Xenopus tropicalis: one gene and its partners. The protein of the gene in region 1 interacts with the protein of each later gene in a pairwise test. Links are inferred from orthologs where the notes say so. Each region holds a gene or a part of one and is shown on either strand. Other genes may lie near its edges.

Region 1 (2,890 bases):
ATTGGGGAGGTCTCAGTCGCATAACAAACACCCAAACCTTTCCTTTATCGCACAATCCTGTTTAAACGTTTTCTGCCCATATGTGCTGGGAATCCTGTGCCAGTGAGTGGTTGCGGGCTGCAGTTGCACTACAGACTTCCAGCTGTATGGCAGGAATATTCCCTGTAGGTTCGCCCAGAAGTGCAGCGCAAATTCTATTCGATTTTATAAAATATAATATTTTATACATATATGTATAAACATTTATAACAATTAGTGGTGCAAGGAAACCTCGTATTTATTTGTTCGGCACCCAGAGAATGGGGGGGGACTAACTTTCACACATGCGTTTTGCTCTGGCTCCGCAAAAATACAATTACAAATTTTAAATACACAATTTCTATAACTGTGTGAATATAATCCATTAGGGAATGGGAACATTGAAGCTACATTCTCAGTCACATAGTGGGGAATTGACCCCCTCCAATTCTCTTGCTCCTTATATCAGATCCAATTAGGAATTTATTTTTGACAGAGTATTTCTAAATTTAAACGGGGTACAAACCAAAAATATTTTGCCTTATGGGAAAGAAACAAATACCCACGAAACTTTCCGAAATTAATTCGTTAAAAAGTCGCATTGGTTTCTTTTCCTCTTTTTTTGTTTTTTTTGTTTTGTTTTGTTTTATAATTATTATTTGGAAATGTAATTGCCATTGAAAGTAGTTTTGCTGGTGTCTCTTGAAACAATGTAGCACAATGTGCGTGTTTCTACACAGGTGTGTTACCAGTTGGCTGGTGTTAACATTGTTTCAAAAGTCAGAACCACCGGGAAGGGAATAGAAGAGAGAAATAGTAATTGCTTTAATTAGGAAATCTGAAGAGTTTCAATGTTTACTGGAATGTTGATTTAGAATTGCCATTTCTTTTTAATTAGGAAAAATGTATTTTATGAGTTGCATCCTCCTTTAACCTTGATAGCCTGTGTAAATATAAAGGCAAAACAATCCTTCCTCACCCCCCAGCCATGTATGTATGTGAGTGGATGAAATAACCAGTAATCTAATACAGGCACATGGGGTAATGCAATACACACACTGGCATTACAATACACACACACACTGGCATTACAATACACACAGTAATATTTTACACACGCACACACGGGGTATTATTACAATGCATACAGGAATATTCCATATATAAGAGAAAACAAATCTTTGCTTGGTGTTGGTGCAACCTGAGCTGCCAGGTATGAAGGGAAACAGCATTTTAAGATCACCCCCCAAATAACATTTAGTATGGCTCAGTGTGTCAGGGTCCCAAGAAAATGGTGTTAGTGGTGGCGGCTGGGGCTGTTATACAGGGTGACAGTGGGTACAATTGCTATTGGCCAATGACTGACCGTGTCGCTGTCCCCCCAGCAACTCCGCGGAAGCAGCGCAGAGAGCGCACCACCTTTACCCGCTCGCAGCTGGATGTGCTGGAGGCCCTGTTCGCCAAGACTCGCTACCCGGACATATTCATGCGCGAAGAAGTCGCACTAAAGATCAACCTGCCGGAATCTAGAGTCCAGGTATGGGGCCAACTTCTGAACTGCGCCTTATCTCTGCTAGTCCCTAGTCTCCCATCATACACGGCTTTCTACTGCTCAGCACCCAGGGGCAGTTTAGTGGCTTTATAGGGACTGGGTGACAATGATAAAGAAGGAAAGGGCCTTGGGACATGGCACCCAACAGGCAGCAATCGTGTTACACGGATTGGTTAGTCCAAGGTGCGCAAAATCGCCTGCGTTCATTCCTACCAGTCAGTGTTAATCCGGCCACTAGGGGCGCTGTTACCATTTAGAGCCTGAGGAGAGTGAGTGCGAGAAGCAGGTACTTCTCAATAAAAACACAGATACTCCGTGTTGCTTAATGCTAATGAAACCTATTTAGTCAGTTACTGCTGCCTTTCATTGGGTTGCCATAATATATTACGGATACTTTTTGGGATTGTGCTGAGCCGATAAAGTACAATACTGGGTGTAATATTATTCTGCCCCAAAGCCGGGCAGGGCTCCCCGCTGCACATTTCATTCCTGTAGTTGCGGCCCCAATAGCAAACTAACCCCGCACTGTGGGGAGCACCGAGCCCTGCGCTTGAGTTTTATGCAATACGATCAAACCATTGTAGCACACGATCCGGGGGTGTCCTGCTGAACCCTGCTGGATCGTGTGGGTGGATCTCCGCATTGTTACCAGCTGTGTGTGCCAGTCGTGCAGGTATTGTGTGTCTTAATGAAACTGTCCTTTCCTGGATTACTGAGCTATTTTAATTGCCGGATCGGGTTTCTGACTGGGAGCTTTATAAGGTACGAACAGCACAGGGCCCTTCCCCTAGGCAGCAGCAGCAGCAGGGGCAACACTAGTGCGCTTTCCCGCCAGAATGAGAGGGGTGGGGCTAAAACCTGTAGCTCCCGAGTGCTGGGCGTGGCTCCATTCAGGGGTAGATCCCAACTTAGCAGAAAGGGGCCTAGTCGGCTTATCCACCGCCATTTTCTGTATTCAGTGCAGTAGAATTATGTAGGAATAGACCACAATGGCGTGTTCTCCGTTTAAATTCTATTTTGGTATTTGGATGTAAAAGACATTATTTGTAAGAGAATTAAGTGAGTTGGGTTAGGGGTGCCATCTTAAATGTGTCCTGTGTGATATTTATTCCCAGCAGCCCCAGCTAACCGAGTACAGATGAGTTTACCGGACAAAATCGAAAGTTTTGAAGCCGTAGTTTCCCATGAAATTAACATTTAATATGATGTAGGCAGTGCCATTTGGTATGAATTGGTCCCAGTTTTTGTCAGGCTTGGACTTTGAATCTGCTGGCTGGTTGCTAGGGTAATTGAACTGCTATCTGGTTGCTAGGGCTAGAG
Region 2 (3,659 bases), on another chromosome or scaffold:
AGGTTAGAGAGCTGAAAGCAGGAAGTAGTGTTCTGGCTATTATGTTAGACATCTGCTAATTCCAGCCTTTATGGATTACATTTTTGCTATTAGAAATATACAGTCTCATTTTTACAGAGTTCCTTTTCCTTTAAGGGCCATTTATAAGGACGTTTACAGCTTATTCATAACTCTTGTCCATATTGTGGATTTGCCATTTGTCCTGAGCACAAATGATTAGGAATCCCCTGAATAGACGCACTATTAGAGATAAATGAGAAAGGATTAGGCCACAGTGCAGGTAGGAGCACTTGTGCAGGAGAGGCCACTCTGTAACAGAACTGAACTCAGAGGCTTCATTCCATGATATTAGGGATGAAGGTGATTTATTGTTCCCACAGAGAGAAACATCAGGCAAATACTCAGTTTCTTTTAACAATAATAATTATAATGATTACGAGAAACTTGAACAAAATGTTGTCTTTGTGCGTTTTGGTTTCTCTCGGAGCACAAAGAATAAATAAATAGCAGTATTGTGGGGTGGCAGGGAGACAGGATTCTCTGTTAGTTGGGAAACTGCTTTACCACAGAGCCGATTAGCAGTCTCAGGTCACGCCTATTCCATGTGCATCCTGATTGTGGCTCCAACACTCACCAACACAGGCCAGAAGTAAAGGGCAACTAACTATAATTTCAGGAGAATTTTTAGACAGTAGCAGTACCTGAGGCTGAAGCCATGTGTACCAATGATTTGCAGCAGGGCGCTGGAACTTTCATTTGGTGCCACACGTATGACTTTCCCAGAAGCCACTCTCGGGTCACCTGGCACTGTCTAGCTTGCTAACAAAATAAAAAAATATTTGCAATATAGTTAGTTGGGCAAAAATGTAATCTATAAAGGGTGGGAGTGAGCAGATGTCTAACATAATAGCCAGAACTCTACTTCCTGCTTTCAGCTCCTAACCTCTTAGTTAGTCAGTGACTTTAGGGGGGGGCACATGGGCCATAACTGTTCAGTTAGTTTGTGAGCACGCAGGTCAGATTCAAATGCAAAATAACCAAACAGTTATGTCCCATATGGCCCCCCCATCAAGTCACTGATTGGCTACTGACTGCTAACAGATTAGAGAGCTGTAAAGGAGTAAGTAGAGTTCTGGCTATTATGTTATACATCTGCCCACTCAAGCCTCTATAGATTACATTTTTGCCTAATTATATTGAAAATATTTTTATTTTGTGCAGTCTGTCTATTTTAGCCAGTTTCATTTTTATACTAAACTGTTCCTTTAAAGGGCCAGGCAGCCTGGGGAAGGGAATGCGCTGAGAGTACATACAAATGACCCTTACTTAGGCTGTGGTTAAAAATTTGCACCATACTGATAAAGTATCATATCTATTTGAAAATACCTTTAGTTTTCCTGGTAGGGCTTTTGGGCGGCTGGCCCTGGCCCTGGATCCATAGAGTAGCCACCTGGTCGGCACTTTACCAGCCTTGTCAATAAATATAACTTTTGATGCCAATACATTGTTAGGAAAGAATGATAACAGCCAAGAAAGGCCAGTGTTTTTTCCAGAAAATTCCAGAAATGAGGGGCCATCTACTTCCCATAGGCACAGTGCAATGTGCACTTCCAGACGCATTAACCATTTCCTTTAACCCATAATGCTAAATTTTCCAATGATTCGAGAGTAACTGTGGTTGCCATGGAAAGACGCACCTGACGGACTTGCTGCGAATGATTTAAGACGCGCTTGCGCTTTGACAGGAACTGGATGCAATTGCTCTGGAATTTTCTGGCAGATCTCATATTGCCTTCAGAGTGACGCGTGCAACACTTTCTTTAGGCACAACTGTGATGCGCAAACTGACACAGGCCATTGTGGGAACTGTAGGGATACCCTCTGGTTCAGAGACAGAAGTAGCGCCAACATTCCCACATTGGTCTGCGGCAATAGGCGCAACAGGAGGAAAGTAGCAGCAACAAGTGCAACTATGAGGAAGTGCAAGGGGTGCATATTGACGCTATTTGAAGTAGCTTTTATCATTGGGATTTTCCAGGCAACTAAATAAAGACAGAATAAAGACAGAATATCCCATCAGTGCCACTCATGCCGTAAAGTGAAATTAAAATGTGCATCAGGTTGCAGTGTGCAGCACTTTAGCCTCGTAACTCTGTTTCAGCTCTTCTAGTACAGAGAGCACAAGTGCACTGGCAGAAAAGGTATGCACGGGGTAGTGTCGTTGAGTTGCCAGCCTCAGGGGACATTTTCAAAATGCATTTTGACCTTTCCCATAGATCTCAAGTGATTTCTATTTAGTAATACTTAACATGCAGAATCATGAGGAGAAAGGAGATGGAGCAAATGGTTTCTCATTATTACTGGCCATACTAAATCAGCACTACTCCACTCCTTGTTTACCAGTCCCCATAATGAAAGCCAGACCCTCTGACAGTGGAAATAAATGATCCATATATAACCATTGTTTCCAGTTACATCAGGGCTTACTTGTGCAGCTGCTAGATTCTGAGGGTGGGGGGCTACACATTATTACATCATGGGCTTTACCACATAACATTCCTCTTATGTAGTAGTAACGCCCCTCTGTTATACACTGATATTGATAAGATGAGCATAGTATGTAAAGCATTTTACATATGCATTGGTTTACTTTACCCGGAATAAGAGACAACTGATTAAAGCTGTTCTGGCGCCCTGATTCTTGGGCAGGGGTGTTCAACCTGCCACCCTCCAGCTGTAACTGGACTGCATCTCCTAGTTCCTATAGACAGCTGAAGGCTAGAGTGCCACCCATTTCACCCAAAAGTAACAACGGTAGGAGTTTATGGATATATTTACAATTGGAGTCCTGCTTTGACATGTTTAAGCCAAAGGTGCAATTACCATACCACTAAGGTGTCGGTAATGCCAAAGTGACTAATAACTTGTCCAAAAGCACAATATCATTGAATTGTCTGTATCATTGGCTGTAATACTCACCTTCCGGTTGCTGTTGTTCCACAGATGTGAGTTCACTGACACTGCTTGCAGAGATTGTGTCACCGCTCATTCTTCTGGGAGCAGAGAGATTGGCAGGAGATATAGAGCCAGAAGGAGGAGACTGACCTCTTGGTGGGCTATATGGGGATATGGAATTAGGAAATGAGTGGGGACCATAGCCATTAGGTGGGCAATGAGGAGGGAGGTAAGACGGATTTAGAAAATGTGGATATGTATGTCCATAGCCACCTTCTGTGAAATGGTTAAAATGCAGTGGTTCTTCTCCATGTGAAGGTGGATAGCCATACAGCATCTTTGTTTGAGGGACTTGGAAAGGATGTGGGAAATCATGGTTGATTTGAACACTCTGTCCAAAAGGCTGAGGAATATGCAATGGCAGCTCCCCACGGTGAAATGGCTGCATGTTAGTTACAGGGTAGCAGGCCGAGTTCTGACAATGAGAGCAGGGGCATACTGGTGTAAAAAGAGGTTCATGTGGAGGAGGCTGGCAAATGTATGGCCGTGTATCCCTCAAACTGCCTCTCTTTGGTGGACTATGTGCATGAGCTGGGTAATGCTGTGGTCCCTCAGATAAAGAGCGAAACAATCTCCTTCTTTCTTGTTCTCCATACATTCCTGGATAATGAGCAGTTTGCAGAATAACCCCAGCCCCTGTCCCC
Region 3 (3,659 bases), about 10 Mb from region 1:
TTGAATGATTATGTTCAACCATCTATCAAGTTCAACCTTTTGTCCTAGCAAAACCAATCTCTCTACTAGCTGTTCGCCAACAAGGGACTGTCCAGAAGTTTTGTACTAGGCGCATGTGTGGGGCCCTAAATTAATAACTTGTACAATTCTGATGGCAGCCCCGATGACAGCACCGTCTTATGTGCTACTGAGTATGGCTGGACCACACACTTTGACTTGAATACAGGACCATTCCTGCCATGAGGCAAGGTGAGAATGGCAAAAATCTGCCTCTGGTTACTTTAAGAAGCGATTTTTCATTTTTTTTAAAATGAAAATTCAGCTCTCTAGATTAATAGGGCTCTCTGCACTTCTGAACCTGCTCTGACACTAAAGTTGTCAGCTTGGGGCAGGAGAATAGGGGTGGCTTGGGGTTGCTTCCTCAGACAGAATATGGGGTTGGTAACCCCTAATCCAGGGAGAGAAGCCCTAAGGGTGTGCATTGATTTTAAAAATGAATACAAATAAAAGGAGTTAATCCTACTATATCAATTTATTTAGAAAAGTGTGTCTTTTGCAAAGTTCTACCACTTTGGTATGTATTTTAAATAAAAAGATTTCTGATGCAGAAAACCTGACATGTATTTGGAAAAGGTGTTAAAAGAAGTGTATAATACAAACAAGGGTAATACAGAGAACTATTAGTAACACAGCCATGTGCAGCATACAGATGTAGCAGAACATCTGCACCCTTTGGACCATACAGCAAGCTATCAAGTTCAGAAGACAATGAGGTTTGAGTCATCTGCATGCAAATACAACACTGAACCAACAAAAAGACATATTTGTTTTTAACAATATAACCCACTTCACAGCCAGGTTAGCTGCCTTAATTCAGACAATGACTTGTAAAACATTAAGTCACTGACCATGAGTCTTACATTTATTATTTACCTGCATTGGATATGGTACCAAATAGACTGTATGACATACCATGAGCAGCTGCAACAACAGCACCAACAAAAGCAGCATGTGTTTGGCCTTTGATTCCCACCAGGAGCTTGAGACACTGTCGAGATTTCTTCATTTTGTGCCTGCTGCCTCTTTCTCATCTCAGCAATGTCCACAGTGGCTACAAAAAGACAGCAGACAGAAAGGCTAAATGGAACACACATGAAGCAGAAGATTTTCAGTACTTATAAATAGAAATAAGTCATGGGTAAAACCAAAGTCTACTGTGGATGGCAGGACATTGTTCCCAAATTGTGTACAGGCTCCGAGCGACCGCAGACATTCAAAGGGCTTGGTTTCTGGCTTATTTACATAGTGGCTGCATGATTCCTAAGGCTGGTGTTTTAAACATTGGTCTATTTTCAGCTGACAGAAACTGACCCTACCATTTCCCATTTACTTGAATGGGAAGTGCCTGACAACATCAATATCGGTGCTTTTTAGCCAGAAGATATTTTTCTAGAGAGTTGGAAAAATCTTGTTTAAGCACCTGCTGCCCAATTTTGTCTGGAAACTTGTCAGTGTGTATTTTCAGGTTAGAATTGCCTGGCAGTTTTGTTTGTGCCAGCTTGGTTTTATGCTCAGTAGATCTTTCCATATGTAATTGCCTTCTATAAAGAGGTTAGCAGAAACCTACCTTGGGGATGCAGAGATCTACTTAGATTTTGCCACTATTTCTTCATTAACTGATTAAATTAAGGAATATTGGTCTTAAACATAATATTTGTATGGACTGAAAGATAGATTACAAAGCTTGGTGGTAAATGGAATGGGTTGGACCAGTGTTGTTAGTGGAGTAATGAAGGGATCTGGTCATAGCGCTTTGCTTTTAATTTTTTTATGAATGACCTAGAAGCTGTCACTATAAATATTGTTTCTATTTTGATCATACTAAATTGTGCAAGGTTTAGAGCGCAACTACTTACCAGGCAAAGTGTGTAAAGTGTAGTTTTCGATCAGAATTCAGAATATTTTCCCCCACATTGTAGCACTAGCCACTGTGTGGATGCACACAGTATTGCATTTACCAACATAACTCAGTTGCAGCAATATATTGAGGACTGGTAATTTCCAGTATGCCTTAAAAAAGGTACTGGAGTCTAGCAAGCTTGTAGTGCCTGGCACAACCTGCTGTGGGATGCCACTTGGGCACTATTTTATGTAATTGCCAGTAAATTTGTAATATCCTGTAATTTAGCTTCTGGCCCACCCACCTAAGCTCTCACCCACCCCAATTTAACCTTTTTCCTTCCCCGATCTCCCCTCAATCTCCTCTCTAGATTCTAGCACCATGGCCCCGCCCCTTATGACTTCTACGCCCCTGCCACACTTCCATTGACATCGTTACCTGCCCACTATTGCCACCGCCCCCCAGCCTGCCAATAAAATTAATTTCAAGGTGGCAACCCTAGCTGCACTCTTCCCCCAAGTTTTAAAATGTGCACTTGCACACCATTCCTTAGTAGGGCAGGATGCAACAGAAGTGTGTTTGGCCCACAGTACCTTTAGCAGCAATATGTGCAATCCATTATGTCCATTTAAGCAATCCTAAAATAGCTGTACACAGGACATTGCTGCTTTGCTGAGAGATTTAAAAAAGTTGGAGCACTGGGCAGCAATCTGGCTAATAAGGTTAAACACTAATGCAAGGTTATGCATGTGGCTAAATCAAAATGAATGCTAGTTATACACTATATAAATTGTGTTGGGGGCTTTGTTAATTGAGAAGCATTTGAGGATTTTTGTGGATAAAAAACTGAGCAACTCTAGGTAGCGTTACTTAGTTAGGATAATGGGCACAAGCCACCATGTTTTTTGTATATTTTGCACTGCTCTCTACAAATAAAAATTGAATGAATACAGCATTGCCTGTGCTTGGCAGCACTGTATTCATGAAAGGAAGGGAGAGGAATGTAGGCCTACTATTACAATAAATACATTCAAAATTATATACCTACCTGAACTGCTATATAGCCTACACAATATCCCTCACTCTATACCCAAATCTTGGTACCATTCATTTAGAACAATAATTCCTGAGTCCAATTGAACTATGTAAATTGATGGGTCTGTTCAGAATTAAGATAATCCTTATACAATGTTTTAGCATCAATAATTTAGCATTAATAAGTGGGATTAGTGGGGCCTCACTCCATTTCCCACTTTGTGCCAACTTACTTTTGTCCCATTTTAAAAATCCTCCTAAGCTATTGTTACTGACCCACTAAAGGCATCAAGATGATGTTAGACTTCACTTAAATTCCCCAGTTTCCCTTCACTCAATCAAACAAAAGTTATCACAAGGGACCCAATCTATTACGCCTCTTATGAAAGAGAGATATAAGCTGTTTCTTAAAAAAATTAAAATCAGTGCTGTTGTAAGAAGTACACCAACCTGCCATTACTTCAAGCATATTATGGGATGTTGCATGGCCAGAGCTGCATTGTATATATGTGCCGAGGCAGACACATGATTCATGCAATTAATCTGGAACTGCAAAATACTGCTCAGAAGTGACTAACCTTATTTACCCAATGTTGAAAGTCACAATGGAAACTAAAGAATTTAGCACAGAAAATAGAACAGGTGACCAGTATTATAATGCCATTCGCAGAAAAGGTTAGTGCTGTAAGCAAAGAGTTAAAGGAAAATTATAACCTCCAGAAAT

Evidence for each region.
Region 2: the proteins of otx1 (region 1) and tns2 interact in binary tests that used the Homo sapiens proteins (3 or more experiments, as listed by UniProt). The two-hybrid records come from large-scale screens. The link is inferred for Xenopus tropicalis from reciprocal best matches to the Homo sapiens genes OTX1 and TNS2.
Region 3: the proteins of otx1 (region 1) and rgs17 interact in binary tests that used the Homo sapiens proteins (3 or more experiments, as listed by UniProt). The two-hybrid records come from large-scale screens. The link is inferred for Xenopus tropicalis from reciprocal best matches to the Homo sapiens genes OTX1 and RGS17.

The regions. Positions count from the first base shown.
Region 1 is NC_030681.2:32,913,661-32,916,550, reverse strand, and holds part of otx1 (homeobox protein OTX1), read left to right. Parts: intron 1-1,403; coding exon 1,404-1,555; intron 1,556-2,890. UniProt on the Homo sapiens protein: Probably plays a role in the development of the brain and the sense organs. Can bind to the BCD target sequence (BTS): 5'-TCTAATCCC-3'.
Region 2 is NC_030678.2:147,566,916-147,570,574, forward strand, and holds part of tns2 (tensin-2), read right to left. Parts: coding exon 2,980-3,659; intron 1-2,979. UniProt on the Homo sapiens protein: Tyrosine-protein phosphatase which regulates cell motility, proliferation and muscle-response to insulin. Phosphatase activity is mediated by binding to phosphatidylinositol-3,4,5-triphosphate (PtdIns(3,4,5)P3) via the SH2 domain.
Region 3 is NC_030681.2:43,009,790-43,013,448, forward strand, and holds part of rgs17 (regulator of G-protein signaling 17), read right to left. Parts: intron 1,112-3,659; 5' UTR 1,092-1,111; coding exon 973-1,091; intron 1-972. UniProt on the Homo sapiens protein: Regulates G protein-coupled receptor signaling cascades, including signaling via muscarinic acetylcholine receptor CHRM2 and dopamine receptor DRD2.